Diceros bicornis minor: one gene and its partners. The main gene of each other region encodes a partner of the protein of the gene in region 4 in a complex. Links are inferred from orthologs where the notes say so. Each region holds a gene or a part of one and is shown on either strand. Other genes may lie near its edges. The genes, in order: RBM15, METTL3, CBLL1 and VIRMA.

Region 1 (7,305 bases), on a different chromosome or scaffold from region 4:
TAAAATACACACTTTTTCTGCAGACAAAACAAATCTCACTGTCAGGAGACCACTCACTTTATGAAGGGAGATGAAACAGAAAATTTTAATCCACTATTGTGGGTGGGGAAAAAAATTTCAATTCCCTGCTTCAGGCCTTTTTGCATTTGCCAGGAAATCAAATGGCTCTCAACTCCTAAGATAAATTTCATATTGCAATCATAATTGTCTGTGTGTGTATTGAGGATACACAAACAATAAAACTGAGGAAGGAAGAGAGTGGAAAAAAGACATTTGATTGAAAACATACTGATATCTTTTAATTGCTCAGTTTTCTTCCATGTGCACAACTTTTATTTTGCTTTTCCCTTTTAAATCTAAAGCTGATTTTAAAGAAGATGACTTCATATAGAAAGCTGGTTGTGGCTGCTCTCCTGTTGGGCTGTGTCCTCTAGGGCCTTTGAGTTATACAGCTCCAGGGTGTCAACATTGATGCCAGAATGGGCTATGGTAGCTTTTCCTCAATGCTATTGCTTGGTTTTTGACAAGGCACTAAAAGAAGAGATCAGCATGCTGCTATGCTGCTCAGGGAATCTGTTGGTAGGTTAACTCTGTTTCCATGACCACCGAAAGATCCTCCTCACCCAAGTCAGCTGATCTCACAAATCTGGCCACAGATCACAAGGAGATCAGATGAAAGCTTGGACCAGACTTCAACAACTCCATCACCAACACCTGCAAAAGGGTTCCAGGTCCTGGTCCTCTAAACCATGGGTCACTTTTATCCTCTCTCAGCCCTCTCTAAAGCACATGGGTGAAAACAGGCTGATACAACCTCACTAAGCAGCTTCATACTTTAAAGAACACAAAGAAATAAAAACAAAATAAATCCTTTATTTTGACTACAGCATGGATCGACATATTGTCATTATTCAGTTCTGTCGTGCACACACTCACATACACATCACAGGCTATATTTTGGCTCCATTACTGATAATGGAATCCAGGCTTTTTCTGTCTACCCATTATATTACCAGTCCTCTTGACACCAGACATGCTATCAGTCCCCTTAGGCTGTAGCCAGCTATGGGCAGTAGCTTCCATCAAGCTCCCTGGTATTTCAAACAGTATGCCACTAAGCCTAGCAGAGCCTCAGGCTCTGCCACACATACTGGTACCAGCTTCCTGAATTCTTTCCCTCAACTCTTGTGCTCCCTTAATCCTTATCATGAGGTTTGGAAACTATACTGGTTTGGTCATTATCTTTTTATTTGATCAGTGAGTCACCTAAGCAGGCCAATTTAGGCCAAAATTAGTCACTCTGGAGTCTGGTTTATTTGGATTGGCTATTACATTAAGATAATAGCTTAGCTTTAATTTTGTGTTGTATTAATATAACCCTGAAATAGATTAAACCCTCCTAACTATGTAAAGCTTTTTCTTTGAGTGTTTTGTGCTCTTACAAACAATGTATTGGTGGTTGTTGGTTTTTTCTATCCCCTAGCATCCAGATTTTTATCTTTAAATATCATTTCCCACTGAAAGGAACCAGAGCTCTTCGGAGAAATGACTGATTCTGTGTCTGGCCCAAGAAATGTACCAGATAAGCCTGGAACAAAATAATGAAGAGGAGGAAGAGCAGGAAGAGAGTGTAGATGAGAAAAGACTGACATAAGTTGATAATTGTTGAAATTGGGTGTTGGATACATGGGAGCTCTTTATAGTATTCTACTTTTGTGTGTGTGTATATATATATATATATATTTGTGCGTGTGTGTGAGGAAGATCAGCCCTGAGCTAACATCCATGCTAATCCTCCTCTTTTTGCTGAGGAAGACCGGCTCTGAGCTAACATCTATTGCCAATTCTCCTCCTTTTTTTTCCCCCCAAAGCCCCAGTAGATAGTTGTATGTCATAGTTGCACATCCTTCTAGTTGCTGCATGTGGGACGCGGCCTCAGCATGGCCAGAGAAGCAGTGCGTCAGTGCACGCCCGGGATCTGAACCCGGGCCGCCAGTAGCGGAGTGGGCACACTTAACCGCTAAGCCACCGGGCCAGCCCTAATTTTGTATATTTTTTACTTTTTCCATAAAAAATAGTTTTTAAGGGGGTCGGCCTGGTGGCATAGTGGTTAAGTACACGCACTCAGCTTCAGTGGCTGGGGTTTGCAGATTCGAATCCCAGGTTTGGACCTACACACCACTTATCAAGCCATGCTGTGGCAGGTGTCCCACATAAAATAGAGGAAGATGGGCATGGACGGTAGCCCAAGGCCAATCTTCCTCAGCAAAAAAAGAAGAGGATTGGCAACAGATGTTAGCTCAGGGCTAATCTTCCTTACACACACACACACACACAAAGTTTTTAAGGAAAGCTAAAAATAATTTCTATTTTTAAAAAATGAAACAGTCATAGCATGCACATGGTAAAACAAGTTTTCTTTTAATAATGCATAAATATGGCATACAATGAAAAGTTGAGTTTCCCAACCAGACCCTCAACCCGCCTAGCCTGATCTTAGTAACAACTTCCCAAGTATTCTCCATGAAGTTTCTACTAATATATATAGAAAATATATGTATATACACATATATATCATTTGTAAAAACCACAAATGGTAGCATATTATACATTGTTCTATGCTTTATGAAGTTTTATTTTAATAGCTAGTTTTAATACAACGAGAATGTGTACACACTACAACACTGTGGACTTTTATGCTTTTACATATTGGGCTTCTTTCAAGCTTTTTTGATATAATCAATAGATAAAAGGCCCACATCTTCACCTTCCTCAAGATTATTTAGAAAGAGAAGGATGGCTAAGGCAGGGCTAAAGAGGTTGCAGTCTCTAATCTTAAAATAGTTTTCAAGCTTAGGTTTCAGCTTTCCGGACACTATAGTTATCTTGAAAAATGTCATGTTTTAAAAACATCTCACTGTGCTGGCCTGGTGGCATAGAGGCTAAGTGCGCACACTCCAATTCAGCGGCCTGGGGTTCGGATCCTGGGCGCTCAGTGACACACCACTTGTCAAGCCATGCTGTGGCATGTCCCATACAGACTGGAGGAAGATGGAATGGATGTTAGCCCAGGGCCAATCTTCCTCAGCAAAAAGAGGAGGATGGGCGACAGATACTAGCTCAGGGCTGATCTTCCTCACACACACAAAAAACAAAAAACAAAATAAAAACATCTCACATTCTCTACTACATATCAGACCTCGAGAGGTGGTTGAGGAGAGGATCAACACAAGAACCCTCATAATCTCTGCCCAATCCTCACAACCTCTGCCAGGAGGACACCTGGGAGGACTGCAGAAAGCCTTATCCTAACTGCTGTGATGAACTGGGCACTACCTTCCTGCACCAGACGGTACGTACCTCTTCTAATCTCGGTATCACCAGCACCTCGCACAGGTGCTTTATTGTCTGACACAAGAAAGGTCTCTGGAAAGAACGAAAGTTGGGTTTTTGAAGCGAGAATGATTGAGGGAGCCAAAAGAAGTGGATTTAGAGAGACAGCAAGGCGGCTGTGCCACTGGCTTCTAATACAGAATATAACCGGAGGTGCCGGCAAGGACAAGAAGCCACAGAAAAAAAAATGCATGGAGCGTAAATGTCACTCGATCATTTAACTGGGAGCGGCATTACGTATAAATAAACACACAGGTATACTATGGGACGACAAAATCCAAAATCCACTTGAATTCGCAACATAGATCAGGAAGTCCAGACACTTCCGCGGTGGCCCGCCCGTCCCGGCCACTCTCGCGGGCTGGGAGAACCTGGGAAAGTCGGTCACTCCCCTCGGTTACCCGGGGTACTTGGGCGGGAACCGGGAGCGCCAGAGACCTGGGCTCCGGAGCGAGCGCTGCGTGGCTTCCTACCCGCGGGACCCCGAGCCCGCGCCCAGCCTCTGCGCCGCCCCGGGGCGTTGGTGTGAACTGTGAACTCGCGGCCAGGCCTGCCCGTCGCCCCAGGGACCGCAGGCGGCGCCCTCGCGCGCAGGAGCGGGTGGGGCTTTTTCAGGCTGTTCACACTGGGGCGAGGTGGACTAACACGGTGTGTGCCGGATGCCCTGGGACGGCTGCCTGAGGGATTCCCGGGCCCCGACAGCCGGAGGCCCTGCCCAGCCAGCCCCTTGTCCTGCACAGGTAGGAAGTGGGGAGCCCAGTTTCGAACTCCGACGGCCGAAGCACAGCCAAGTACGCCGCGGGACCGAACAAATGTTTGAGAAGAGAACGCCGACAGCCCGAGCAGGCGGAACAGACTCGTGATCACCGTCTCGCGACGTCTAAGTGACGTCACACAGCAAGCGCGTGTTCTACCCTTTCACCTTCAGCCTCCTCAGTATATGGACCTACCCCTTTAAGCTAGTGATAGACAGTTATTTCAGCCTATCAACGTCCTCATCGATATCCAATCAGATTTAAACTTCTGTCAGCCGCCGGAGGAGTTGGAAGAAGGGGGTCGAAAGAGGGAGCGCTCTCTCTCTCGCGAGATCATTGTAAGCCGGCCTTTCAGAAAAAAACGCCAGAACAGATGGCCGGACTTCCCAAATAGTCAGTTAAAAGACGGGGTCACAAACCAATGAAAGGGATGAGGAAGTGGGATCACTGCTTTCACCGCGCAAGAAGTACCGTTACAGGGCAGACTTTTTGTCCAATCAACGCCTCCAGACTTTGGGTCAAGTGACCATAGAGTGCAAGGGGCGGAGCTACAGCCTGGCGCGAGGAACCGTTAAGATGGACAACGAGTAGGACCAATGAGGTACTCTGACTAGGGCGTTGGGAACCCAATAACAGTGGACGGGCGGGCGCCTTCCCCGAGCGCGGGGAGATGTGAAGACAGACAAACAGTTTTCCCAATGAGACTGTAGAGGAGAAGTGCTAATTGACCAATGAGGACGACGGGGCGGGAGCCTTTGCCGCGGCGGAGTCCAAGATGGCGGCGTGCGGTTCCGCTGTGTGAAACGAGCGCGGGGCGGCGGGTTCATCTGCTCCGCGGAGACGACCTCCGACGGCCCGCAACAATGAAGGGGAAGGAGCGCTCCCCAGTCAAGCCCAAACGCTCGCGTGGTGGCGAGGACTCGACTTCCCGCGGGGAGCGGAGCAAGAAGTTAGGGGGCTCTGGTGGCAGCAATGGGAGCAGCAGCGGAAAGACCGACAGCGGCGGTGGGTCGCGGCGCAGCCTTCATCTGGACAAGTCCAGCAGCCGAGGGGGCAGCCGCGAGTATGACACTGGTGGGGGCAGCTCCAGTAGCCGCTTGCACAGTTACAGCTCCCCAAGCACCAAAAATTCCTCGGGCGGGGGCGAGTCGCGCAGCAGCTCCCGGGGTGGAGGCGGGGAGTCACGTTCCTCTGGGGCCGCCTCCTCAGCTCCCGGCGGCGGGGACGGCGGGGAATACAAGACGCTGAAGATAAGCGAGTTGGGGTCCCAGCTGAGTGACGAAGCAGTGGAGGACGGACTGTTTCACGAGTTCAAACGCTTCGGTGATGTAAGTGTCAAAATCAGTCATCTCTCGGGTTCTAGCAGCGGGGATGAGCGAGTAGCCTTTGTGAACTTCCGGCGGCCAGAGGACGCGCGGGCGGCCAAGCATGCCAGAGGCCGCCTGGTGCTCTATGACCGGCCCCTGAAGATAGAAGCGGTGTATGTGAGCCGGCGCCGCAGCCGCTCCCCTTTAGACAAAGATGCTTATCCTCCGTCAGCCAGCGTGGTCGGGGCCTCTGTAGGTGGTCACCGGCACCCCCCTGGAGGAGGTGGTGGAGGCCAGAGATCACTTTCACCTGGTGGCGCAGCCTTGGGATACAGAGACTACCGGTTGCAGCAGTTGGCTCTTGGCCGCCTGCCCCCTCCACCTCCGCCACCATTGCCCCGAGAGCTAGAGCGGGAGCGAGACTACCCGTTCTATGAGAGAGTGCGTCCTGCATACAGTCTTGAGCCGAGGGTGGGAGCTGGAGCAGGTGCTGCTCCTTTCAGAGAAGTGGATGAGATCTCACCCGAGGATGATCAGCGAGCTAACCGGACGCTTTTCTTGGGCAACCTAGACATCACTGTGACAGAGAGTGATCTAAGAAGGGCTTTTGACCGCTTTGGAGTCATCACAGAAGTAGACATCAAAAGGCCTTCTCGGGGCCAGACCAGTACCTATGGCTTTCTCAAATTTGAGAACCTAGACATGTCTCATCGGGCCAAACTAGCAATGTCTGGCAAAATTATAATTCGGAATCCTATCAAAATTGGTTATGGTAAAGCTACACCCACCACCCGCCTCTGGGTGGGTGGCCTGGGACCTTGGGTGCCTCTTGCTGCCCTGGCACGAGAGTTTGACCGATTTGGCACCATCCGCACCATAGACTACCGCAAAGGTGATAGTTGGGCATATATCCAATATGAAAGCCTGGATGCAGCTCATGCTGCCTGGACCCATATGCGGGGCTTCCCACTCGGTGGCCCAGATCGCCGCCTTAGAGTAGACTTTGCAGACACAGAACATCGTTACCAGCAGCAGTATCTGCAGCCTCTGCCGTTAACTCATTATGAACTGGTAACAGATGCTTTTGGACATCGGGCACCTGACCCTTTGAGGGGTGCTCGGGATAGGACACCACCCTTACTATACAGAGATCGTGATAGAGACCTTTATCCTGATTCTGATTGGGTGCCACCCCCACCCCCAGTCCGTGAACGCAGCACTCGGACTGCAGCCACTGCTGTGCCTGCTTATGAGCCACTGGACAGCCTGGATCGCAGGCGGGATGGCTGGTCCTTGGACCGGGACAGAGGTGAGCGAGATCTACCCAGCAGCAGAGACCAGCCTAGGAAGCGAAGGCTGCCTGAGGAGAGTGGGGGGCGGCATCTGGATAGGTCCCCTGAGAGCGACCGTCCACGAAAACGTCACTGTGCTCCTTCTCCTGACCGCAGTCCAGAATTGAGCAGTAGCCGGGATCGCTACAACAGTGACAATGATCGATCTTCCCGTCTTCTCTTGGAAAGGGCCTCTCCAATCAGAGACAGACGAGGTAGTTTGGAGAAAAGCCAAGGTGACAAGCGAGACCGTAAAAACTCAGCATCAGCTGAACGGGATAGGAAGCACCGGACGACTGCTCCCACTGAAGGAAAAAGCCCTCTGAAAAAAGAAGACCGGTCTGATGGGAGTGCAGCAAGCACCAGCACTGCTTCATCGAAGCTGAAGTCTCCTTCCCAGAAACAGGATGGCGGGACAGCCCCTGCAGCAGCAGCCTCTCCCAAACTCTGTTTGGCCTGGCAGGGCATGCTTCTATTGAAGAACAGCAACTTTCCTTCCAACATGCATTTGTTACAGGG
Region 2 (7,580 bases), on a different chromosome or scaffold from region 4:
TACCAAGTCCTCTTTGGCAGGTACAGAGATGTGCTGCTTCAGAGATGTCACTTCAGGAAAGAACTGGTTATCGAGCTGAAAGAAACCTGGATAGCTGACGGCCTCCAGCTCTTCTGCTGTTCTGCAGCCCCTGGCCAAAGACTGAGCAAAGCGGTGGGTGGTACAGGGGCTTAGTCATTCCCTTGGAACATGGGACTCTAATGAGCAATTTTTGCTCTGGAACTCCCCATTGGGCTGGCAGAAACTTTGTCAGATCTGCATCATAGTCTGACAGCTCTCCCTGCCCAATCCCATTTTCTCCCCCTTTACCTTTTACAATTGTTACTCCCCAATAAAACTTTTGGACTCCTAATTCCGTTTCAGCACCTGCTCCTTAGAGATTTCAACCTGTGTCACCCCTGAAAAAGGCCTAGATATTATTGGCACATTTTCATCTCTCACAAACTCCTGCTTCTGGGGCTTTGGTTACTGTCCCTGCAACTTCTTAGTAAACCAAAGAACCCCTGTCTCCTGATCCCCAAGATAGACTTCATTAGTGTTGCTCTCAATTAGACCCAACTTTGACTTCCCTTTACATTTCTTTGTGTTTTCTATTGTTTAATAACTGATTGACTAACCCAATGGACATTTTGCTTTTGATCATATAATAAGAAACAGTAAGGAGAAAAACTTAAGGGAAAAAAACATTTGGCCAAAGAACCAAATAAAAAGTTTTGGTCAGTATTGTGGATGTTTCAGCAATCCATTGCTGTGTAACAAACCATCCCAAAACTTAGTGTCTTAATAATTATGTCTTTGCTTGTGATTCCATGGTTTGTTAGGCAGGCCTGAGCTAGGATGGCTTGTCAATGTTCCACGTGATGAGGGCTGAGCTCACTCAGGCAGTTTCGATTTGGGCTGGAGGATCCAAGACGGCTTTACTCACTTCTGGCCGCTCAGCTGAATGGCTGGAATATTGGAGCCTCTCTCCTTATAGTCTTTCATTCTCCAGGGCCTCTTTCCTTTCGAAGTCTTTCAATCTCTAGGATATCTCTCTTCCTCTCTCTCTCTTTTTAAGTGGTCTATCTATCAGGATAACTGGACTTCCATGAAGGCTCAGGTCTCCAAGAAGACAAAAGCAGAAGCTACAAGGCCTGTTAAGGCCTAGGCTCTGAAACCCAAAGAATATCATTTCTGCCACATTCTGTTGGCCAAAGCTAGTCAGAAGGCCAGCTCAGATTCAAGAGGAGGGGAAATCAGCTTTACCTCTTAAAGGGAAGAGTGACAAAGTCAGACTGCATAGGGCACGTGGGGTGGGAGGACTTGTGGCTAACTCTGGAAACAGTCTACCACAGCAGATATGAGGAAAAGTTAAGAAATGCAATGCATGCAGCATCATCTGCTCACAATGAGATTTACACTCTTTCTGGACTAGAAGAGGTCTGGGTGAGGTTCCTTTTTCCTCTCTGCACTGCTCAGGGTTGTATGCAGACTGACTAAGAGTGGGGACATAAGAAAGCAGTGGCTTGCTTTTTTTTTTTTTTTTTGAGGATGATTAGCCCTGAGCTAACATCTGTTGCCAATCTTCCTCTTTTTCTCCCCAAAATCCCAGCACATAGTTGTATATCCTACTTGTAGGTCCTTCTGTTTCCTCTATGTGGGACACCGCCTCAGCATGGCTTGACGAGTGGTGAGTAGGTCTGCGGCCAGGATCCAAACCGGTGAACCTGGGCTGCCGAAGGGGAATGCATGAACTTAACTGCTACGCCACCTAGCCAGCCCCCAGCAGTGGCTTTCTTTTGAGCAGAAAACTGGTCATGAGGAATCTGGAAAGAATCCCTCTATAAGCAGATCATGCTAAGTGGCCCTCCTGTGCTCCTAAAGTTTGCCTAATTTACTAAGTTGTAATAATTTACCCAAAGTGAATGTGAAAGCAAAGACTTCTGGGAGCTGCCCTTGATTTGATTGACTTTCAGGAGCACCCATGTTACTTCTTGGGCTTCCTTTGTAGGTGAGAGGAGGCAATCCAGGCCTTAGGTATCCCAAATTCTACCAGAGACTGAATCTTTTCCACTAGAAAAGCCTTCCTTTCCTAGACAAAAATGCTTATATTATTGGGGGGTTGACCTGCAGAATTCTGTCTTTACGATAAATCAACCCCCTTCATTTTCTGCAAGGCTATATCCAGTACTCTCTTTCTCCCCCAAGACTATTTAATTTTACTGCTATATAATTTCTATAAATTTCATTTCTATGTGTTAAGGACCTTGAAAGATATAGTGATCTTATAACAAATGAGGGATTCAGATTTGTCAACAATTAACTCTAATAGTGCTATAATATAGCAATAATGGGATTATCTTACTCCATTAATCATACATGTATCTAAACATAGGGCCACACAGGATACATCCCAAATGAGAGAACAAAAGCATCCTTCTCAACTTTCTTGAGGGCAGTTGCTAAACCGAGGTTATTAAAGGAGGCAAAAACCCTCAGGTAGAGCAGTCCCCTTGAGTAGTCTTCCATGATCTCACATTAGCCAACTATCCCAAGAGTATTTCAGCTGAGGAAGATACCATTTTTGCTTCTAATTACATGTAGTCCTGAGACTTAAATGTCTAGAGATGTTCATGTGAGCCCATATTCATTTCCATATCCTTTTCTTCAAGGCTCATATACAAAGTTACACATCTCAAAAGATAGTGTGAATTACCTAGTAAGTAAATTAAATTCAGAAAATGAGATGGAAATGAATATTTTTATTACTACTAAATCTCCACAGTACCTAGCACATAGTAGTCACTCAATAAATATTTGCTGAATGGATGAAACTGCCACTTCCAATACACATACATACATCTTTCCTCTCAATAGCCTCCCTTCATATTCACCCCTTCCTTCCCATTATTATCCATAACTAGCTTCTGAGTTAATTAAAGGTCCTATCATCAAACAGTTACAATAGGTTACCAACCATTTTCCCTATCTCTAACTCTCCTTCCTCCCCATCTCAAACCAACTAGAACAGTAGATTAATCTTAAAACACTCCCTATTCACAAACCTTAAATTATTCCCTGTTGTATTCTTTTTTTTTTTTATAATTTTATTTATTTTTTTCCCCCAAAGCCCTAGTAGATAGTTATATGTCATAGCTGCACATCCTTCTAGTTGCTGTATGTGGGACTCAGCCTCAGCATGGCCACAGAAGCGGGGCGTCAGTGTGCGCCCGGAATCCAAATCCAAGCCGCCAGCAGCGGAGTGCACGCACTTAACCGCTGAACCACAGGGCCAGCCCATTTCCCCTGTTGTACTCTGAATAAGTTGCAAGCTCTTTACTCAGGTAACATGTACCTTTTGCAATCTGGCCTCAAATATGGAAACATAAATATCCTCCCAAATTCCCAAATATAATTCTCTATGTTCTAGCAAACTAACCTGGATTAGCAGGACATACAACTTGCTTTCCTAACTCTAGCATAGACCTTTGCTTTTATCATGTCATTGGCCTGGAATTCTCTCCTATAGCTTCAGTGAAGCTATAGCTGTCACTTCAAGCCTGAACCTTGATGCCACCTTCTTTCCAATGCCTTCCGTGGTCATCTTGGCTTGGAGTCCTCCTCCTCTTTGCAGTGACATTTATTTGTTAAAGCCTATGCTCACGCTGCCTTATGCTGTAAAGATGGTTTGATATTAATAAGCTGGGTCTTAGTTTCTTTACCAGAAGAGAAATGCTCTGAAAACCAGAGCCATGCCTTTTCAAGCTATTCTTTCTGACACAGTGTTTGGCATCATGTAGCCATTTGATAAATCAATGGTTCCCAAATACTTCCATTCAGAGAACCCCATTTAAAAAAATAAAAAACGAAAAACTTTTGTATTTAAAAGTTTATTACACATACAGAGAAGTGCACATACCAAAATGTTTGGCTCAATTAATTTTCATAAACAACATACTCATGCATCCAGCTCCCAGAGTAAGAAACGCAATGGAACCACAACCTCAGAAACCCCTCTAGTGCCTCCTTATGAGGACTTTATTTTAATGTATTACATATCATACTTGTAGATTTGGTGTAAGTAAGAAGAGTGAGAATATGTAGTTGTAGACCCCTTATAATATCTCTGCTCCATCATTCCTCGTTCTCTCTCAAAGAAGCACAGATACAAACGCACACACCCATAGACTGGAAACCAATGTAATAGCTATATCTTTGTAAATGAATGCATGGAAACATAAACCTACAACATCTTCAGTGGAAAAAGTATATTAGTATCAAACTGTCAAAAGGAATGAGTGATCCTTCGTTTCAAAAATCTGTACGACACGTGCTGCTCTACGTGTACGTTCACAACCCAGCTCAACTCACAGGACTCCCCTCTTGTATTTATAACATGGCCGCATGCGCGTCTACAAGCAACATGGCCGCTCTGCCAGGCACCAACATGGCAACCACAGCCTCACCGCACCCGGAAGCACGCGAGAGTTCCAATAAAAAATACATCCGCCATTCTGCCAACACCTAAGGCGGCTCTCTTTTGAGCTTCAAAGAGAGTGCGAAGCCGGAAATGACCTTTCCATCTAGCGCATCTCCCGGGATTTCTTTCCGGTTAGCCTTGGGTGTCCGCGTGAGAATTGGGTATTTCCTGGAGCTGGGACTGGGAGGTGCTAGTTCGCCGCGCTTGATTCGAGACGTGTCTGGGTCTGGAGACTAGGATGTCGGACACGTGGAGCTCTATCCAGGCCCACAAAAAGCAGCTGGATTCGCTGCGAGAGAGGCTGCAGCGGAGGCGGAAGCAGGACTCGGGGCACTTGGGTGAGGCGCGGGGCTGTCGGGGCCGATGCTTACCCGGGGAGGGCGGGAGGGAACCCTGGAGAAAAAGACAGCTCCTGAGTCGGTGCCGTTCCCCAAGCGGCCTTTTCTGTAACACCCCGTGCGTTGGTGCTCTTCTCCTCCCCCTCAGCAGCACAGACGCCGCGCCCTCCGGCAAGTAGTCGCGGTTCCTTCCCACCTCGGGACGTGGTACGCCCAGTTCTCTTTCCCGGGACGGGCGCCCCGGCCCCACCCCCGTCCTCCTTACTGACTCCTAAGTCTACCAGATCGTCGCCTTTACTAAGACCTCTCAGCTACCTACCCCTCGAAGCAGCAGGTCCCCTTTTTGTTGCTCCCATGGCGCTTTGTTCTTCCCTCGGTTATAGCTACTACTTTGTACTGGTCATTTCTTTGCGACTATGGACACCGTGAGAGCAAGGACTGAACCTTTATATCCACAGCGCCCAGGTCAGTGGCCCTCGGTGTTGCTAAATGAGTAGAGGAACTGGCATTGTCTTTAGGTATTTACATACCGAGCAGGAATCTGAAAATATTTGTTTTTTGCTTTTAAACTTTTTCTCCCCTCCCGTTGCCCGCTATGTCACAGTCAAAACTTGAAGGAACCTCAAAAGATTGTCAACTCCTGCCCACCCCCTGTCGCCAGTACAAGCCCTGAATTATTTAAGGCAAATCAACTATAAAGATCTGCAAGGATAGTGAATCCAAACCACCCTTGTGGTAGCTTGTTCCAATGTTTAGTAGTATACTCGAGTCCATCTCTAAATCTTGTGTTAATACATATGAGGCCCGTGTGCTCATATTGTGGCCCCTGGAACTAGAAGATGCCCTGGCAGGACTCTGACACCATAATAAATAAACATCTATTGAGTATCTACAGTGTGCATGAGTTCCAGTTAGACAAAAATAAGTAAGATATTGTCCCTGCCCTCGAGGAGTTTGAAATTTAGTTGAGGATAAAGGATTAATACTTAAAAAAAGTTAGAAATACAATATGATATATGTAAAATGCCAAATGAATGAGTCCACAATGAGTTCAGTGAAGGGAGAGGTAGCAAGAGTTGGTTTAGTCAGTGAAGGCATCGGGGAGGAGTTGGCACTTGGAATTTGGTCTTCAGGGCTGTATAGGACTTAGATAATTACAGAGAAGTTAAGAGGGCAGGGTGAGTAGAGGAAGAAGTGCAAGTCGTATGATCAGGGATTAATTAGCAGTCAAGCATTGGAGTAGTTACTGAATTACCCAAGAGGGAGAATTTTTTTCTTGATAATATAAACTTCAGTTCCTTTGATGTCTTGTTGTAGATTCAATTTTCTGGTTTTTTCTTATTCTTTGGTTTCCTCTGTTTCTAAGACTTTTATTTTATGCAAATCAGTTTTAGACAGAAAATATAACACAGTTACGTCTCTGTCATAGACAAATGACCCAGTTGCTTCTTGATTTATCACAGACTTCTGTTACTGGGCTTAAGTACCTCATCAACTTTTTCAAATACAGCATTCTGGAAGAAATGATTGAGTCATTTCTCCCTATATATGTGTGTTCCTGAAAAATTGCTTCTGCAAAAGCCTGCATTAAAAATAGCAGGGCTTATAGAAGAAATAGCTTTAGAAGAAGCCTGTTCAAAACCTCTGTAACTTTGTTACTAGAGCCCTTACAATATTCTACTAAAAATGCTAGCATAGTTAAATCTCCACTGGTGTTTCTACCTATAATGAAAGTCATTCCATCCCCACAGCCTATATACCCTGGGGCTCCTACTTCCTGCTTCCATCCAGCAGTCTTGTTTTTGTTTAACCAAGGGAAATGCCTTTGCAGTTTATTCATCTGAACTTGTAGCTTCCCAGATAGGTTAACATAGTGCAAAGTGTAGCACTTCTTGAAGCCACTAAACCAGACACTTCTATTTTTTAAAAGGCATTTCTGTAGGATTCTCACCTTTTTTCCTTAAGGTATTCATGTGTTTTTGAAGTTTTTTCTTTAACTGTGAGAAAATTTGCCCCTGACCACTTCAGAACATTAACATGATGAGAAAAAATCATGTATGAACCAGCAAGTTTTCCATGTTATTCTGACATTCCCTTATTTATTAATTGCATATGAGCTGATTTGCATTGAATAAATACATTGTAGGAAATCAGATTTTACTTGGATAATATTTGAGAGAAGTCAGAGACATCTGTTCTGTGGACTGTGTTGTAGAGGTCCTCCAGGTGGTCATCAGGTAAACAACAGTGGGATGTGGGCTATCCGGATGAGTTGCTCAATCAGCAGAAAAGAAGAGGGGCTAATGGTTCCATTCATTTATAACTAGAAACTCACCAATTTACTACATTTGGACACTGTAGGTTATTCAGTTTTCAATGTACGTTATTTTAGTAGGAGGTAATGTAGCCTTGTTCTGTCACCTCCCCATATTCTCCACATGGATAGGCTGTCACTGCATTTTAGTACCCTCGGCCTCTTGCAGTGTAGAAAGATGTAAAGCCTTGGGTAAGTGCATTTCTTCTAGGAATATTTATTTAATTTGAGTATGGAGTAATTTGTTTTCCCTTCAGCAATGGCAATTGGAAAAGGGGACCTGAGGATTCAAGTAGTTGTTTGCTTTAACAAAGTGATCTACAGAGTTAATTTTTTAAAAACCACTATATCAGTGTACTACATCATTGACTACTTTGTGTTCAGCTTTTTCTGTCATTTTTGTGACAAATGACATCTTTTATCTGTAGTTTGTGGGTTTTTTTAATTCCTTAACAAGTTTATAATTATT
Region 3 (7,853 bases), on a different chromosome or scaffold from region 4:
CAAGTAGACTTATTCTTGAGTTTCCTGGCATTCTTTGGTCTTGGATATCTATCTTCTTCCTTATCATCTCTTTGCACAGCCACACAAGGATTAAGTCCTCCCAGTGCTAAGATTTATCCTTTTGCTCAGACATTTCTAGAATAGTATAAGCTTTTCAAAACACCATGGGAGATATAAAATAGAGATTTTCAAACTTAAATTCCAAGCCATTAGTGTACTTTGACATTTTAGTGAATCATAACCAGCATTGTTTTTAAAGGGACAGACTAGAAATAGCAGAGAGCACTGCATACAGTAAGGCTAAGTATAGTTTCATGATACTTATATGTATGTATATGCATTTGTGTTAATGTACTTGGCTATGATGTAAAATATATTTCTGATAGTGAGAGACATTTATTTAAACAGTAACAGGGCCTATTTACAAACCAAGTATACCAGGGAAACCTGAAAATCCCTTCCAACTGGCATGGAGTGGCAGCTGGGGATAGGGTCAGGAAGCCCTTGGACTAAAGCTTTCTCAAGTCTAGGAAACAGTATCACAGACTGCTTGCTTACAGCAGTTTACTACCCTAAGCATTCTTTCAGGTGTGAGCTGAATAGAAACGTAAGGAGAAGAAACAAGGCAATTTTCTCTAGCAGAGGAGCTGCAGGGAGGGGCAAGAGGTATCCACCTCAAAGGATACACACTGCAAAATGTCATTCTCAGAAGAGAAGGAAGGCTGCAGGCCCTCTCTAGATCAAAGGACTCCTATCCAAATGAGTACGTATATTGCCAGGCCTCAAAGGATGAGTAGGGAAATGTCTTCAACCTGCAGTGTTCAGTCCTTGTAGTCTTTACTTCCTCCTTATTCCGTGAATCTGTCTCTTGCCCAGTTTTTGATAGTGTTTGGAAAGCCGGCTGCCATACTTGATAAGGCTTGGCTATGGTAATACGCTAGGGCTCAGTTTCAAGAGCTGGTAGAGAGAGGAGGAAGCTGGGACTACGTGGGGCTGGAGTTAAGCTTGCTAACCCAGCTCGAGGGCAGATCACTCAATTGACTCCAACATAGAGAAGTCAAAGAGCCTTGCTTTGAGTCTGCATCAGCAGGCTAATAAGTCCAAAGCAGCCCTAGTGACCCTATCTTCAAAACCTATCTCCAAACCATTTCTATAGGTAATAATAATGAAATTGCAGCAAACATTTAATAGTCATTTAATAATGTGCCAGCTGCTATGTTATCTCATTTAATTTTCATTATCACCTTAAGAAGCAATGAATATAGTAACACCATTTACCAGCTTACTGTGTGCCAGAGGGTGCCAAATGCTTTTCATAGATAACAACATTTAGTTCTCTCAACCACCCTAAAGGTAGGTACTATTATCCCCATTTTACAAATGAAGTGAGCCAGCCACAGAGATTAGGTAATATGCCTAAAGTCTCTGGTAAATGACAGTGCTGGGCTTGGAACCCACAGTCTTTAACTTCCAAGGCCATACATCTAACCACTACATTTCCACTGCCTTTCCCATCCTTTTCTACTTCTCAAACTTAATGTATAGTGGACACATTCCTGATCAGTTCTTCTCTAAGTAACAGTTCATGCATACCTGCCGGCGTTTCAGCCATCACAGAGGTCTCTGGCTTCCTGGTCAATTGTTCTTCTCTTACATTAGCAGTATTGAGCCACTCCCCCCTCCCGCCCCCCCAATTTAAGTTTTGCTCATTGGTTTTGAATATCTCTTGCTGAATTACGTTGTTTACATGAATACACCATGCTAGGTTTTGTTTATATGCGCCTTCTTAACTGTTACTCTGAAATCTTACTTTTCAAGGTTCTCTACAATCATACTTTATTTTTCAATACTCCCAAACATGGATCAACAGTACAAGTCAAGCTGATCACTGTCCTCAATAGAAGCTATAACAGTTCTCACCTCTGCACCCTTGCTCTTTCCTGTTTGATATGCCTCTTTCACTGCTCTCCACCTCTCCAAATCCTATCTGTTCATCAAGGTTCAGCTCAACCCCTCCGTAAAGCCTACCTAACTACTAAGTCCTACTGCTCATTATTGTCTCTGAATGGAGGTAGCACTGTATTCCCTCAAAACACTTCGAATTTAATCATATTTGTTTTAAATTATTTCTATAAATGCTAGCCTGTATGATCCTTCAGGTAGGGATCTTTATTTACCCAGTTCTTGCCTTCTGCAGTATCAGTGAGTACCGTGTGATACAACTGAAAGAGCATTAAGGAGATGAAGGTTATTGTCCTGATCTGGTCCTAAGGAGTCTCAAACAAACTCTTGGGGAAACAAGGCCTCTGACACAAAGCCTATTTTTCTCATAATGTAAACAGTGCTATACAAATGGAAAGCTATTAAGACACCTTCAAGAACATCAGCTTATAATTCATAGGCTATCAGATGGTCTGTCAGTAAGATGAAACTATGCACCTCAGGGCTTCAGATCATCCGTCACAACGACAGTTCATTTTTATAAACCTCAAGACAGTACCATGTTATAAAATAAATATGAAAGTCCACTTTCAGAAAAGAAAGTGTGACTGAGTACAGCACACGGGTCACCAACAATGGATACCAGAGTGCAGTAATAAAATATAAGTCTATGTACAGTGTCACTTATCAATTTAGGCAAAGGGATTAATTTGTCACACTGCTGCCACTGCACTGGTAAAGTGAGGCAACTACAGTTAAGGGGAAATGGATATAGAGCACAGAGGCTAGAGCAATGCATGAAAGCAACAGGTGTCAAATGAAATCAGCAAATGTTTATCGAACATTTTATCAACAGGAAATCTAAAATAAGTGAGTTTTCCCTCAGTAAATTTTCAGAACTTGATGCACCATAAAATGCTGACAAAACTTCTGACTTACAGATTAAATTATGTAAAATACAGTCTGAAGGCTCTTTTTTATTCTAATTCTTTACATATTAGAATCAGCAGACACTAACAATATTATTCTGAACCTGGATTTGCATCAATCTGAAGTATGGCTGACAGGCTAAATATGAGAATAGAAAAAATAAAAAGAGCACTTCCTTCTTTCTTTTACAACCCAAATTGGTGAAAAAATACCCAATCATATCAACACTGTCTTTAGAGAAACAGGAAAGTATGGGAGAAAGGTTAAGTTTCCCCCAACCTCCAAACCAAAAAATAAGCCCAGCAATTGAAAGCATCTTGAAAACCACTTAGTAACACAGAAATTTACATTTTGACAACAGTAGGGTTAACTTTGATTCACAATTGTCTTTAATTGTGAACGTACCTAAAAACTTGTTTACAAAGCGGCAGAGTGGGAAAGTCTTTTAAAACACTCCAGTAACATATTCACCAAATAACACAGAACACTTATAGTACTGATCCTATTACTCAAAGCTGTTACTATACAACCATACAGATGTAGCACATCGTTGCACACACTTTATTCGGAATTCAGTACCGTGAAAACGTTTCTATAGGAGGTCAATACAATCACTTCTTGTCGATCTAATAACACTGGCACTGAAAGTGTGAATAACCCAAGGTAATGATGTCGTCACCAAGGGACGACAAGAATAGAACCCAAATCCCTTGACTCCCAAGCTTGTGTTTTCCACTAATTGTGCTCCTTTCTTCTCATCCGAGAGCATCAAGTGTAAAAGGTTGGAGAAGGCAGTGGACGCAAATGCGCCGAGTTCACGCGCTGGAGGCGGCACTGAAGGTCCCCAGGAATCACCCTTTGGCACTTTTCTTTTGTTTTGGCTGAGGACGATGAAAGCAGCGGCAACCACAAACCCCTGGGACCAAGAACTGGAACTAGGTACTGCCTGTTGCGGTAACTCTCTCTTCCTCATTTCGGGCCTTTCCTTTTCAGCCTCTCCCTTCCGGCAGCCCTCAGCTCTGCGTGCGCCGCTCCGCGTCTACCCGCTCCTTCTCTCCGCTCTGCACTCCACCGCCCGCGGGGCCCTAGCAAGACGGCTGCGCCGCTCGCGCCCTCCCGCCAGCCCCGCGTCCAGTCCTCGGGAGAGGTGTGCTGGGGGTCCCTAGCACAGGCGTTTTCTCTAGAAAAGGAGTGCTACTTAAGCATTATAAACATGTTTCAACTGTTAGAAACTTAAGCGCTGGGAACGGGGGCAGATACCAAGTCTGCTCTGCGTGGGTCTGTGTAGCTCGTCACGACAAAGCAAAGTCGAGCCTTTCTTTCTGGCTGGGAGCTCCACGCAGATCAGCATCCCCTGGGCAACCTCCCACTGGAGGACGCCTTTCGGAGCGCGCGTGTTTACACTTTTCCTAGACCGCGGGGGAGGAGACAGCGCCTGCCCACTCTGGGGGATTCCAAACCGTTACTCCGCCCGCCCGGGTGAGGCCAGCCCAACGGCCGAGCCTGCGCAGTAGGCGCGGCCGGCTCCAGGGCCCCGGCGCACTACAAGTCCCAGAAGGCAACGCTCCATGGGGGCGGGCGGCCGCCTTACCTGTCGCAAGCTTATTCCTCCGGCTACTACTGCTCTCCCTCTCCCCCGTTCCCGAGGGTCTCTCTCCACAGTTAAAAGGCTTCTTTCTCTCGAAGCACGTGAAAAGAAACCTTAGTAACCTCGACATCAAAGCTCTTCGCGTACTCGCTCTTTCTTCTTCTGCCCGAACTATGCCTGACTCCCTCACCGCAGTTGTGTAGCGGACGCCAGAGAAGGAGGCCCTGGCAGGCTAAAGCCCGGGCAACCTGGTCACACTTCCGCCTGGCGGGCTCCGAAAGGTAGCGCGCACGCGCTGGCTGCGACTCCGGCGCAGTTGATTTCCGCTCCCACTGTGCCCTGCGAGCCGAATCATGGATCACACTGGTAAGGAGGCGGAGGCAGTGGGGGTCTCGGTTCCATGCCCCCTTGGCCAGCCTGGGACTGGTCGCCCAGCAGGCATAGAGGGGTTACCCTCGCCCTACAGCACTGGGGTGTGGCGGTGAGAAAGAAATCGCACAGAGCTTTGCCCGCGCCCGGCAAGGGCCTGCTACTTCCCGGCCTACTCTCCGGCGTGATACCCACAGCCTCCGTGCCGGCAACAGCCTCTTCTTCTCTGGTTCTGCTGAGCTCCGAGCTGGGACGGCGGGCGGCGCGGGCCCGTGGGGAGGAGAGAGCTGGCTCTTCTCTTCTTCCTCCCGGGCGCTCTGCCCTACGTATGGGTACTGGCGGGTAGATTTCCAGTTTCGGAATGGGGGAAGCCTCCTTACGGTGGGAGTCGATGCGCGAGAGTGGGTTGGAGACTTCCTGCTGCCTTAGTCGGCTTTGGGCGGGTGCTGCGCTGCTCACCGCCGGTCTTTATTGTCTGTCCGGTCCTTTATGGACTAGAGGTGGGAGAATGGGGTCGAATATGGTTTTCGGAATCATACTCGGAGCAGCTTTTCTGCCTAAGCGCAAAGCATGCCCCGCGCTTCGGCTGTGGTCCTTACGCATCATTTGGGGACATTTACAAAGGAGAGCTTAAAATTAAGATATTCTTTTCTCCAAGTAAGAATGGCTCCACTCTTTGTTATGTGTTTTTTAGCTTTTGCTTTCTTGTGGTTTTTGGATGTTGAGTGAGTGCGCTTGCAGTTAGAAAGTGCTCTGTACAGTTATACGAGCTATATCACAAGTAGGGAAAAAAGGCTTTTTCTTGTATTAAGTATTGGTTAAGATATCCTTAGTTCATATATCTACTTAATTGTATAATTATGTATATGTAATGAGTGCTAGTCAACATGTAACTTATAGCATGTGCTGAATATCTGCAGACCTGGAAATGGAATGATGGAATGGTAAATAAGACGGACTGAGTCCTTGTCCCCATGAAAATTACATTTTATTGGGGAAGACACAATAGACAGGTTTTAAAATTTTTATTTATTTATTTTTTTCCCCCAAAGCCCCAGTAGATAGTTGTATGTCATAGCTGCACATCCTTCCAGTTGCTGTATGTGGGACGGGGCCTCAGCATGGCCAGAGAAGTGGTGCGTTGGTGTGCACCCGGGATCCGAACACAGGCCACCAGCAGCGGACCGGGAGCACTTAACTGCTAAGCCACCGGGCCAGCCCGATAGACAGGTTTTAAAAAACCTAAATGTTTACAGGTTGTGATGAGTGCTTTGAAGAAAATAAACGGGTGCTGTGGTAAAGACTAATTGGAGGAAGGTTAAGAGAGGATAGTCAGGGAAGGTCTCTCTGGAAAGGTAACATTTATAGCTGAGATCTGATGGATGAGAAGAACCTAGCCATGGAATAAATCAGGAGGAAAGCATTTCCAGCCAAGTACAGTCGTTCCTAGTTTTCTCCACGGGCGGATTGGTTCCAGGACCCCTCAACCGATACCAAAATCCGCGCACACTCAACACCCTTAGTCCTCCCTTGTTTCCCGGGATTCTGCTTCCGCAGATTCAGCCAACCGCGGGTCATAAACATAAGCACCTACAGGATCCACAGTTGGTTGAATCTGGGGGTGTGGAATTCTCAAATATGAAGGGCAGACTGTACAAAGACTCTGAAGTAGGAAAAGAAGAGTCTGAAGTAGACCAGTTGGCTGCAGCTTTAATTAGCATGAGGGAAAGAGCCCTGGGATGAGATTGGAAAGGAAGGCAGGAGTCAGGTTGTGTAAGACTTTGAAGGCCGTGGTAAAGTTTTGAATTTTATGTTAAGTGCCATATGAAGCCTTTGAACAGAAGTAGAGGAGGAACATAATCTCTCTTAAAAATATAATAGGTTGTTCTATGGAGAATGGTATAAGAGAGGGAGGAAAGAATAATAGAAAATAGACAGTTTAGGAGGTGGATGCAGTAGACCAGAAGGGAGTCTTGACTTAGTGAAGGTAGCTTGGTTTAGTGAAAAGGGGACTGGCAGATTCAATAAACATTTTGGTGTAGAACTCAAAACACTTGCTGATGGATTTGTTCAGAAGTATGTTAAAGAAAGGAGAGACGCCTGGATTTCTGGCATCTCTTTTTGAGCAGCTAGGTTAGTGCCCTTTACTAAGTTGGGGAAAACTTGGGGAGAAAAAGAGGCTTTTCTTTTTTTTTAAGGTGTAGAGGTGGGAATTGGGAAACAAGATTTTGGACTGCTAAGTATGAGATGTATATTGAGACATACAAGGGGAGATGTCAAGTGGCAATCAAAGGAAAGATCTGGGACTTAGTACCACATAGGTAATATTTTAAGGCATGAGAATGGATGATGAGATCACTTAAGGAAAGGGAATACAGAAGAGAAGAGGGCCTAGAAAGAACCAGGCTCTGAGGAACTTTGGTGTTTGGAAATTTTATAGAATTGAACTTCTGCAATCTTGATGTTAGAGTAGCAAACATTCAATGTTAGCAAAATATTTCTCATTTGAGCCTATTACTGGAATTGGGAGTCAAGCCCCTTCCACAGTTTAGAGGATGTTATGTTAGGAAATTGTAATATGGGTGGGTGTGTATCTGAATATTTAGTATCCTGCTTCTTTAAGTTAAAAGGTTGCCTAAGAAAATAAGTCATCCTAACGTGAAAATATTCACTAATGAGCTGATCACTTAAAAAATTAGTTCCTGGTCAGATATCCCTGCTCCTTAACATTAGTGTCTTTTCTATTCATTAGTTAATTTCATTATAAGTCAGTGTCTTTCATGTTTCATATCAGGAAACAGTATCAATGCTGTACATTGATTGTGATTACAAACCTTACAAAAGAATAAAGTTTTCATGACATTCATAAACGTGAATTTGATAACTATTTAAATCACAAATAAAATCATTGGCAAGTGAGGAAATGCCAGTTAGCCAGTTAATTGAAAACATTATGACAGGATAGGCATCTTAAAAGAATGATTTTAATATCAAAGAATTAAGAGAGACCCTTAGGGAAATTTAC
Region 4 (7,067 bases):
ATTTTTTCTCATTCTGTAGATTGTCTTTTCACTCTCTTGATAGTGTCATTTGATGCATAAAAGTTTTTAATTTTGAAGTCCAATTTTATTTGTATTTTATTGCTCATGTTTTTTGTGTCATAGCTAAGAATCCAAATCCCAGGTAATGAAGATTTACCCATGTTTTCTTCTAAGAGTTTTATGGTTTTAGCTCTTACATTTAGGTCCTCGATCAATTTTGAGTTCATTTTTATATATTGTATGAGGTAAGGGTCCAACTTCATTCTTTTGCATGTAGATATCCAGTGCCATTTATTGAAGAGATTATTCCTTCCCCATTGAATGGCCTGGGCACCCTTGTTGAAAATCAGTTCACCATATATGTAAAGGTTTATTCTGGACTCTTTTTAATTTTATTTATTTATTTATTATTTTCCCCCCAAGCCCCAGTAGATAGTTGTATGTCATAGCTGCACATCCTTCTAGTTGCTGTATGTGGGACACAGCCTCAGCATGGCCGGAGAAGCCGTGCGTTGGTGCGCGCCCGGGATCCGAACCTGGGCCGCCAGCAGCGGAGTGTGCGCACCCAACCGCTAAGCCACGGGGCCGGCCCTGGACTCTTAATTCTATTGCATTTGTCTATATGTTTGTCCTTATGCCATTACCACAGTTTTGATTACTGTAGTTTTGTAGTAAGTTTTGAAAAAAGGAAGTGTGTATCCTCTAAATTTTTTTTTCAAGATAGTTTTGGCTATTTAGGGCCCTTTGCAATTCCATATGAATTTGAGGATCAGATTTTCCATTTCTGGAAAAAAAAAAAGGAGGGGCTGTTAGAATTTTGATAGGGATTGCATTGAATTTGTAGATTTATTTGGGTAATATTGTCATCTTAACAATATTAAGTCTTCCAGTCCATGAACGTGGAATGTTTTCCCATTTATTTAAGTCTTCTTTAATTTTTTCAGCAACAATTTGTTTTTCAGTGTATAAGTCTTTCACCTCCATGGTTAAATTTATTCCTAAGGCATTTTATTCTTTTGGATGCTATTGTAACTGTATGTAGGTTTTTTTGTGTGTGTGTGAGGAGATCAGCCCTGTGCTAACATCCGCCAATCCTCCTCTTTTTTTTTGCTGAGGAAGACGGCCCTGGGCTAACATCTGTGCCCATCTTCCTCCACTTTATATGGGACGCCGCCACAGCATGGCTTGCCAAGCAGTGCGTCGGTGCGCGCCCAGGATCCGAACCAGCGAACCCCGGGCCGCCGCAGCGGAGCGGGCGCACTTAACCGCTTGCACCACCGGGCCGGCCCCCTGTATGTAGGTTTTTGAAAGCCATACCTAGGGGGTCATACTCAAAACAGAGAAACCATGTAAGCAAGGGCACAGTGATGTGAAATACCTCTTGAGGGAGGGAGCCATATCTAGCTGGGAATGGCTGAATCACCTAAGTGGTGTGATAGGGACAAGGCGAAAGAGTGAGCAAGGAGAAGTGAATTTCAAGCCCTACATACTAAGGTGATAGATAGCCAGTCAGGGATTTGAGGCTCTCCCAGAAGTCTGGTTAATACCTTCTCTCTTCTTTGGTCCCCTACATGTCTTTCTGCCTTCTCAATCATAGCTGATGATCTCATTGAGACAATAGAAACTGTCAAAAAGGAATTTCCTCATTTCCCCATTACTAAATCATTACTCCCATTGGCATGTTTACCCATGGACCTCCTTGCCCCTGGTTACCAAGGAGCAGGTATTCTTTCTAGCAAAGGTCACTTTATATTTGGCCACCAGGTACCACCCCTCCCACCTACTCAATACTTTGCTGTTTCAGATTCCCTCGCTCTCTTCATCATCAATGTTTCTCTCTCCATTGCTTCATTCCCATCAGTCTACATGCTCTGTTATCACCCATCTTAAAGACACTCTTTCTTGACTCCACGTCCCCCCATTTAACAACCACTTCATTTCTTTGTTCTATGCAACAAAAGTTCTTGAAAGAGTCTATAAAAGTTTTCTTTACTCCTAAATTCTTTTTTTCTCTACTCAATTCTTATTCATCATTTAAAATTTTATTTTTTAATACGTACAGTAATATATGTACATGGAAATAGATTCTCTTTATTTCTGTACCTTTAGCCATCTAGTTCCCCTCCCTGGAGGCAACAACTATTACCAGTTTCTTGCATAATTCTTTCAGAGATAGTCTATAAATTCAAATATACATATAGTATATACATACAACAGAAAGAGTGAAACCTAATGTAAACTAAGGCTTTAGTTAATAACAATGTATCACCACTGGTTCATCAATTGTAACAAATGTACCATGTTAATGCAAGATATTCATAATAGGAGAATCCTTGAACAGTGGGAAAAGGGGCTATATGGAAACTCTCCGTACTAGCTGCTCAATTTCCCAAAAAACTAAAACTGCTCTAAAAATAGTTTATTATTAAAGGAAAAAAGCTACTTCACACTACTCTTAGGTCAAAAAGAAAATCAAAGCTAAGAAAATCAGACTATGTAAAAAACACCAATAATAAAAGCACTACATTGTGTATTAGTTACAGTTAAAGCAGAACTTAGGGAAATGTTAGTAGACACAAATATATATAGTACTAAATAAGAAATATGAATATAAATAACTTAAGCATCACTATAGAAATTTGAAAAAGAACAGCTATGTACATGTAGACTAAAGAAAGCAGAAAGAAGGAATTAGTAAATTCAAAAGCAGAAACTGAAGAATCAAAAAATAGACAAATTTAGCTAATAGAGGAAACAGGATGGCTGAGGAAGGGGGTAGATGGGACAGTTACTTTAAAAATTTAAAAATTAATTTATTATTAAATATTTCAGACATACTGAAACGTACAAACAATAACGTAAAGCACACCTGTGAAACCACCACGAACCTAAAGAATAAAATCTTATCAAAGCACTTGAAGCCCCTGTACACTTCTTGGTCACATCTCCCTCCAGTTCACCACTATCTTGAAATTTTAGGGTTTATCACTCCAAGGCATTTCTTTATAATTTTATAACATATATGCCCTTAAAAAGTTATATTATTTTACATTTATATAAATGCCATTTTATACTACATATTCTTCAACCTGTTTGCTTAACCCTTTGCTTAACATGTTAGTAGATACAGCACTAGTTCATTATTTCTACCTGCTGTATACTATGACATTGCATAAACATACCACAGTTTACTTATTACTTGTTGTTAATGACAATCAAGTTTACAGCTTTTTTGCAACCATTAATGTTGCCATGAACATTATTGTAGCTGTAGGTATTTCTTTGAGCACATGTACAAGAATTTTCCCAGAAGGGGAGCAGGCACGTATAATTTTACTAGATAATTCCTAACTGCTCTCCCAAGCACCTGCGCCAATTAAGACTACCAAACTGTTCAAGTTGCTCCAATGCTCATCAACAGGGAGAAAAGGAGACTGACTTTTCCCTCTACATTTTTATTGTTCATGGTATTTCACGTCATACAATTTCTCGAATTTTATTTCAATACATCCTCACAATAAGCCTGTGGGTTAGGTATTATGATGCACAAGTCGCATTTTGCAGGAGAAAACAAAAAATCTCTTGGTTTTGAGACAACAGTTTCTTTTTTTCTTCTTTTTTAAAAAAATTCGTACTTTACAGTCTCGCTCATTGCACCTTTTTCCTGCCAGCCCTAGAAAGGCTGCTTGCTGGCGGGTTCACTAGGCTGGGTATCCAGAGTTGGCAGCGCTCTCCATCCCTCCTCCACCCTCCCCAAAGCCAGCTCTGCACTCTGCCACCGGGAGCCCATCGCGGCTCTATAACGCGGTAGAACGACGAGGTTTGGACCACTGGAGACTCCGTAGTCCCCTGCTTTCCTCTCTTGGCCTCTCTCGGCGCTCTGAGGGCGCCCTCCGCCGCGCTGGAGAAGGCGGGGCCGGCGACACCGGGCAGCACTTCGCGTCAGGATAGGCTGAGGCTTGCGGCGCTAGCGCTCTGGCAACCGGAAGTACGGCGGTCTCTGCCTCTCCTGAGCCGCTGTCGCCGAGGTTGGAGGGCTGCCCCGGAAGTCCTCCCCCTGCTCCCGCCCGCGGCAAACATGGCGGTGGACTCGGCGATGGAGCTGCTATTTTTAGATACTTTTAAACACCCGAGCGCTGAGGTAAGGCTTGGGGGCTTGATTCTGACCGTGCCTCTCGACTTGGAGACCCTTACAAAACATCGTTAGGCGTGCCTCGGCTTTTCCTCCTGTCGATTGCCGCTTTAATTCCTCCCATACACACCCCCTCCCCCAGCTTGGGTGTGGGCAGTGGGGCTGAGGGAGCGCAGCGGCGGCCTCCTCACTGCCCTGCGGGATCTTAGGCCCCCGCGTCTTTGGTTGACTCGGCTGCTCTGCTTGCTTTGCTCTTTTTTGTTTGTTTGTTCCTGTCAGCTTTGGGCCTTGAAATGGATCATGGTTCTCAGGTTGACCTCAGGTGGTGTTTGGGAGGGGTCTTGGACAGCTTGTGTTTGACAGTAGTGCAAGTGGCCGAGCAGGTCACGACGGCTTCCTGGTCCTAAGTCCCTTCTCCTAGGTCCCTTTTCTAACGGGACTTCTGTTGCACAGATGTGACACTCATTCGGTTTGGGATCGCGGCGTTCTCCAGTTTGTCCTGAAACTTTAATACTTTTGGCAAGATTGTACACGTTAGAACATGAAATGCTTACACGGAAGTCCTTTGCGTGGAGAATACTTGTTGGGAAGAGGGGCGGATTGAGAGGATTGTAGTCAGACTGCAAAGCACAGTTGTATTGTCTTTTTGAGGAGCGAGGGTGAGGTGTTGGGAGCGCCTCTGAACGTATGACTGACTTTGCTGTATGTCAGTTGAATATAGATAGTTAATTAAAGGTTCCCGAAAGCCGGCCAGAAATGAACATTAACGAAGTCCACAGAGAAATTTAAAAACCCCCAGAATTCACATTTCTGTTCCGATATGTAGACTTAATCAATTTGGAGAACTATTTTTTCTTCCGAGATAGTGATGGTAGTGAGTTGTGGTTGTATCTTAATGCTTTACTTGGCAAAATCAAAAGTTGACAACCTTGGTCTTATAATTATTTTAACGAATGGTTTATAGGTCTGTAAAAATCGAAAGTTTGGAAACGTTAGCTTATCTTACTAATAGTGAATTCATTTGTGGTCTCTCATTTCATGTGGGTCAATTAGCTCTGTTTGTTCAATGACCATACTTTTCTGACCGTAATTCCAGCTAGGCTTTAGAAAACTCACAATGGAGACAGTAGTTGGATAAGAACAAATCTATCATGTGTACAGAAATAGAGAAAAGTTAAAAATGAAAGAAAAAAGGATATGATGAGTTAGGTTAGTAGTATTCTAGTTTAGAAAAATTGGCATTCATTCACTTATCATATCTTTAAGAATTTAGTATTTCTTCATTCATTCTTAGACATACATTGAGGATGTCCAGAGGATAGAACTAGTAGTAAATACCTTCTTCTGGCAGTGATTGGGGAAGGCTTAGTAGAGATCACGTTTAAATTGAGTCTTGAAAGAGGAGTAGGGGTTTGTGGGGAATATGGAATATTAAGATATTTGTTCTCATGGAGTTTATAACTAAGTATTGGAGATTAGGTCCACAAAATTATAATTCAAGTTAGAATGTGATGAGTATGTAAAGAGACAGAATGAGAATTCCTTGGGGTTTGTCACCTTTATTTCCCAAATGCCCATCAGTGTCTGACATATTGGGACCTCAGTTAATATTTATTTAGCTCCCTTTGGTGGTAAAAGTAAAGGCTATGTGATTTCAGAGGAGGGAGAGATCACTCTTCATTTCAGAGTATCAGGGAAGACTTCATCAAGGCAATTGGCATATGAACTTGGTCTTGGCTGGAATAGGGTTTGTTCCTCAGTCATAGATAGGAAAGGAGGGCATTCTGCTGGAGTAGTCAGTCCTCTGTAGGCTATGCCGAAAGCAGCAGTGTGAAGTGGCACCTGAAGGGCAGTTTGAAGCCAGATCATGGAGTTCCTTGAATGCTCAGCAAAGGAATATGGACTTTATCTTACAGGACATGAGTAGGTTTTTCAGCAGGCAAATTATATGATTAGTAAAATACATTAGTTAGATTAATTTATCAGTAATACCTAAAATGGTTCAGAAAAATTAGAGGTAACAAATCAAGAAGATGAGATGTAATGAAAGCTTGAGTTAACGAATGGGCAGTAATCATTGTTAGCATTTATTGAATGCTTATTTTGTGCAAGACACAGTGCTTTGGTAATTTAAATACATTATCTCTAATCCTTCCATCAGTTTTGAAAGATAGTTGTTCTCATTTTATAGGTAAGGAGACTGAGCATGATAGGTTAGGTGACTTTCCTAAAGTGGCATAGCTGGATTAAGACACACCAACACACATTTTCTGGCTCTAAATTTGTGCCATGCTGTGTCCAGTGGGACTAAGTAGGAAGGGATAGGTACAAGATAAATTTTGGATATAGAATTGACAGGATAGCAACTGATGGTGTGAGGGAGAAAGAGTGCAGTCAGCCTTCCGTAACTGGGGGATTGGTTCCAGGACTCCCTGAGGATACCAAAATTCCTGGATGCTCAAGTCCCTGTAGTTGGCCCTCAGTATCCACGGGTTCTGCATCCACGGATTCAACCAACCAGCCGCGGTTGGAAAATACCACATATGGTGAGGTATACATTTAGGAGGGGGAATACAAATAAAACAGAAAAAACAAAACCCATTGCCCTTGCTTTCAAAGGAATTTGTAAACCGATGGGGAAGACAGACATTTATTCAGTTTTCACAAGGAGAATACTGAAAGGGTTTGAGTGGTGCTAAATGAATTACAAATTGTGATTGTGGTTTGTATGCCTCTTTTTTAAAAATAAAAAAATAACTATGTTATTTTAGTAAATTTCAATTTCTTTATAGAAAAATTAGAAAATACAGAAAAGCAAAGGCTTTCATAGTCCCACCTTTCTTAGTCCCAGCTATCATTGACAGCTTTCCTTAATTTTTTCCCAAATCCTCCCAAATATATATAAATATATATATATGTGTGTGTATATATATAT

Evidence for each region.
Region 1: VIRMA (region 4) and RBM15 share a complex: the UniProt entries of both Homo sapiens proteins name them as parts of the WMM complex. The link is inferred for Diceros bicornis minor from reciprocal best matches to the Homo sapiens genes VIRMA and RBM15.
Region 2: VIRMA (region 4) and METTL3 share a complex: the UniProt entries of both Homo sapiens proteins name them as parts of the WMM complex. The link is inferred for Diceros bicornis minor from reciprocal best matches to the Homo sapiens genes VIRMA and METTL3.
Region 3: VIRMA (region 4) and CBLL1 share a complex: the UniProt entries of both Homo sapiens proteins name them as parts of the WMM complex. The link is inferred for Diceros bicornis minor from reciprocal best matches to the Homo sapiens genes VIRMA and CBLL1.

What each region holds. Positions count from the first base shown.
Region 1 is NC_080743.1:43,362,887-43,370,191, forward strand, and holds the start of RBM15 (RNA-binding protein 15), read left to right. Parts: upstream 1-4,298; 5' UTR 4,299-4,879; coding exon 4,880-7,305. UniProt on the Homo sapiens protein: RNA-binding protein that acts as a key regulator of N6-methyladenosine (m6A) methylation of RNAs, thereby regulating different processes, such as hematopoietic cell homeostasis, alternative splicing of mRNAs and X chromosome inactivation mediated by Xist RNA.
Region 2 is NC_080744.1:27,854,454-27,862,033, forward strand, and holds the start of METTL3 (N6-adenosine-methyltransferase catalytic subunit), read left to right. Parts: upstream 1-4,565; 5' UTR 4,566-4,697; coding exon 4,698-4,797; intron 4,798-7,580. UniProt on the Homo sapiens protein: The METTL3-METTL14 heterodimer forms a N6-methyltransferase complex that methylates adenosine residues at the N(6) position of some RNAs and regulates various processes such as the circadian clock, differentiation of embryonic and hematopoietic stem cells, cortical neurogenesis, response to DNA damage, differentiation of T-cells and primary miRNA processing.
Region 3 is NC_080742.1:10,751,810-10,759,662, reverse strand, and holds the start of CBLL1 (E3 ubiquitin-protein ligase Hakai), read left to right. Parts: upstream 1-4,850; 5' UTR 4,851-4,859; coding exon 4,860-5,160; intron 5,161-7,853. UniProt on the Homo sapiens protein: E3 ubiquitin-protein ligase that mediates ubiquitination of several tyrosine-phosphorylated Src substrates, including CDH1, CTTN and DOK1. Targets CDH1 for endocytosis and degradation.
Region 4 is NC_080760.1:13,777,980-13,785,046, reverse strand, and holds the start of VIRMA (protein virilizer homolog), read left to right. Parts: upstream 1-4,047; 5' UTR 4,048-4,078; coding exon 4,079-4,141; intron 4,142-7,067. UniProt on the Homo sapiens protein: Associated component of the WMM complex, a complex that mediates N6-methyladenosine (m6A) methylation of RNAs, a modification that plays a role in the efficiency of mRNA splicing and RNA processing.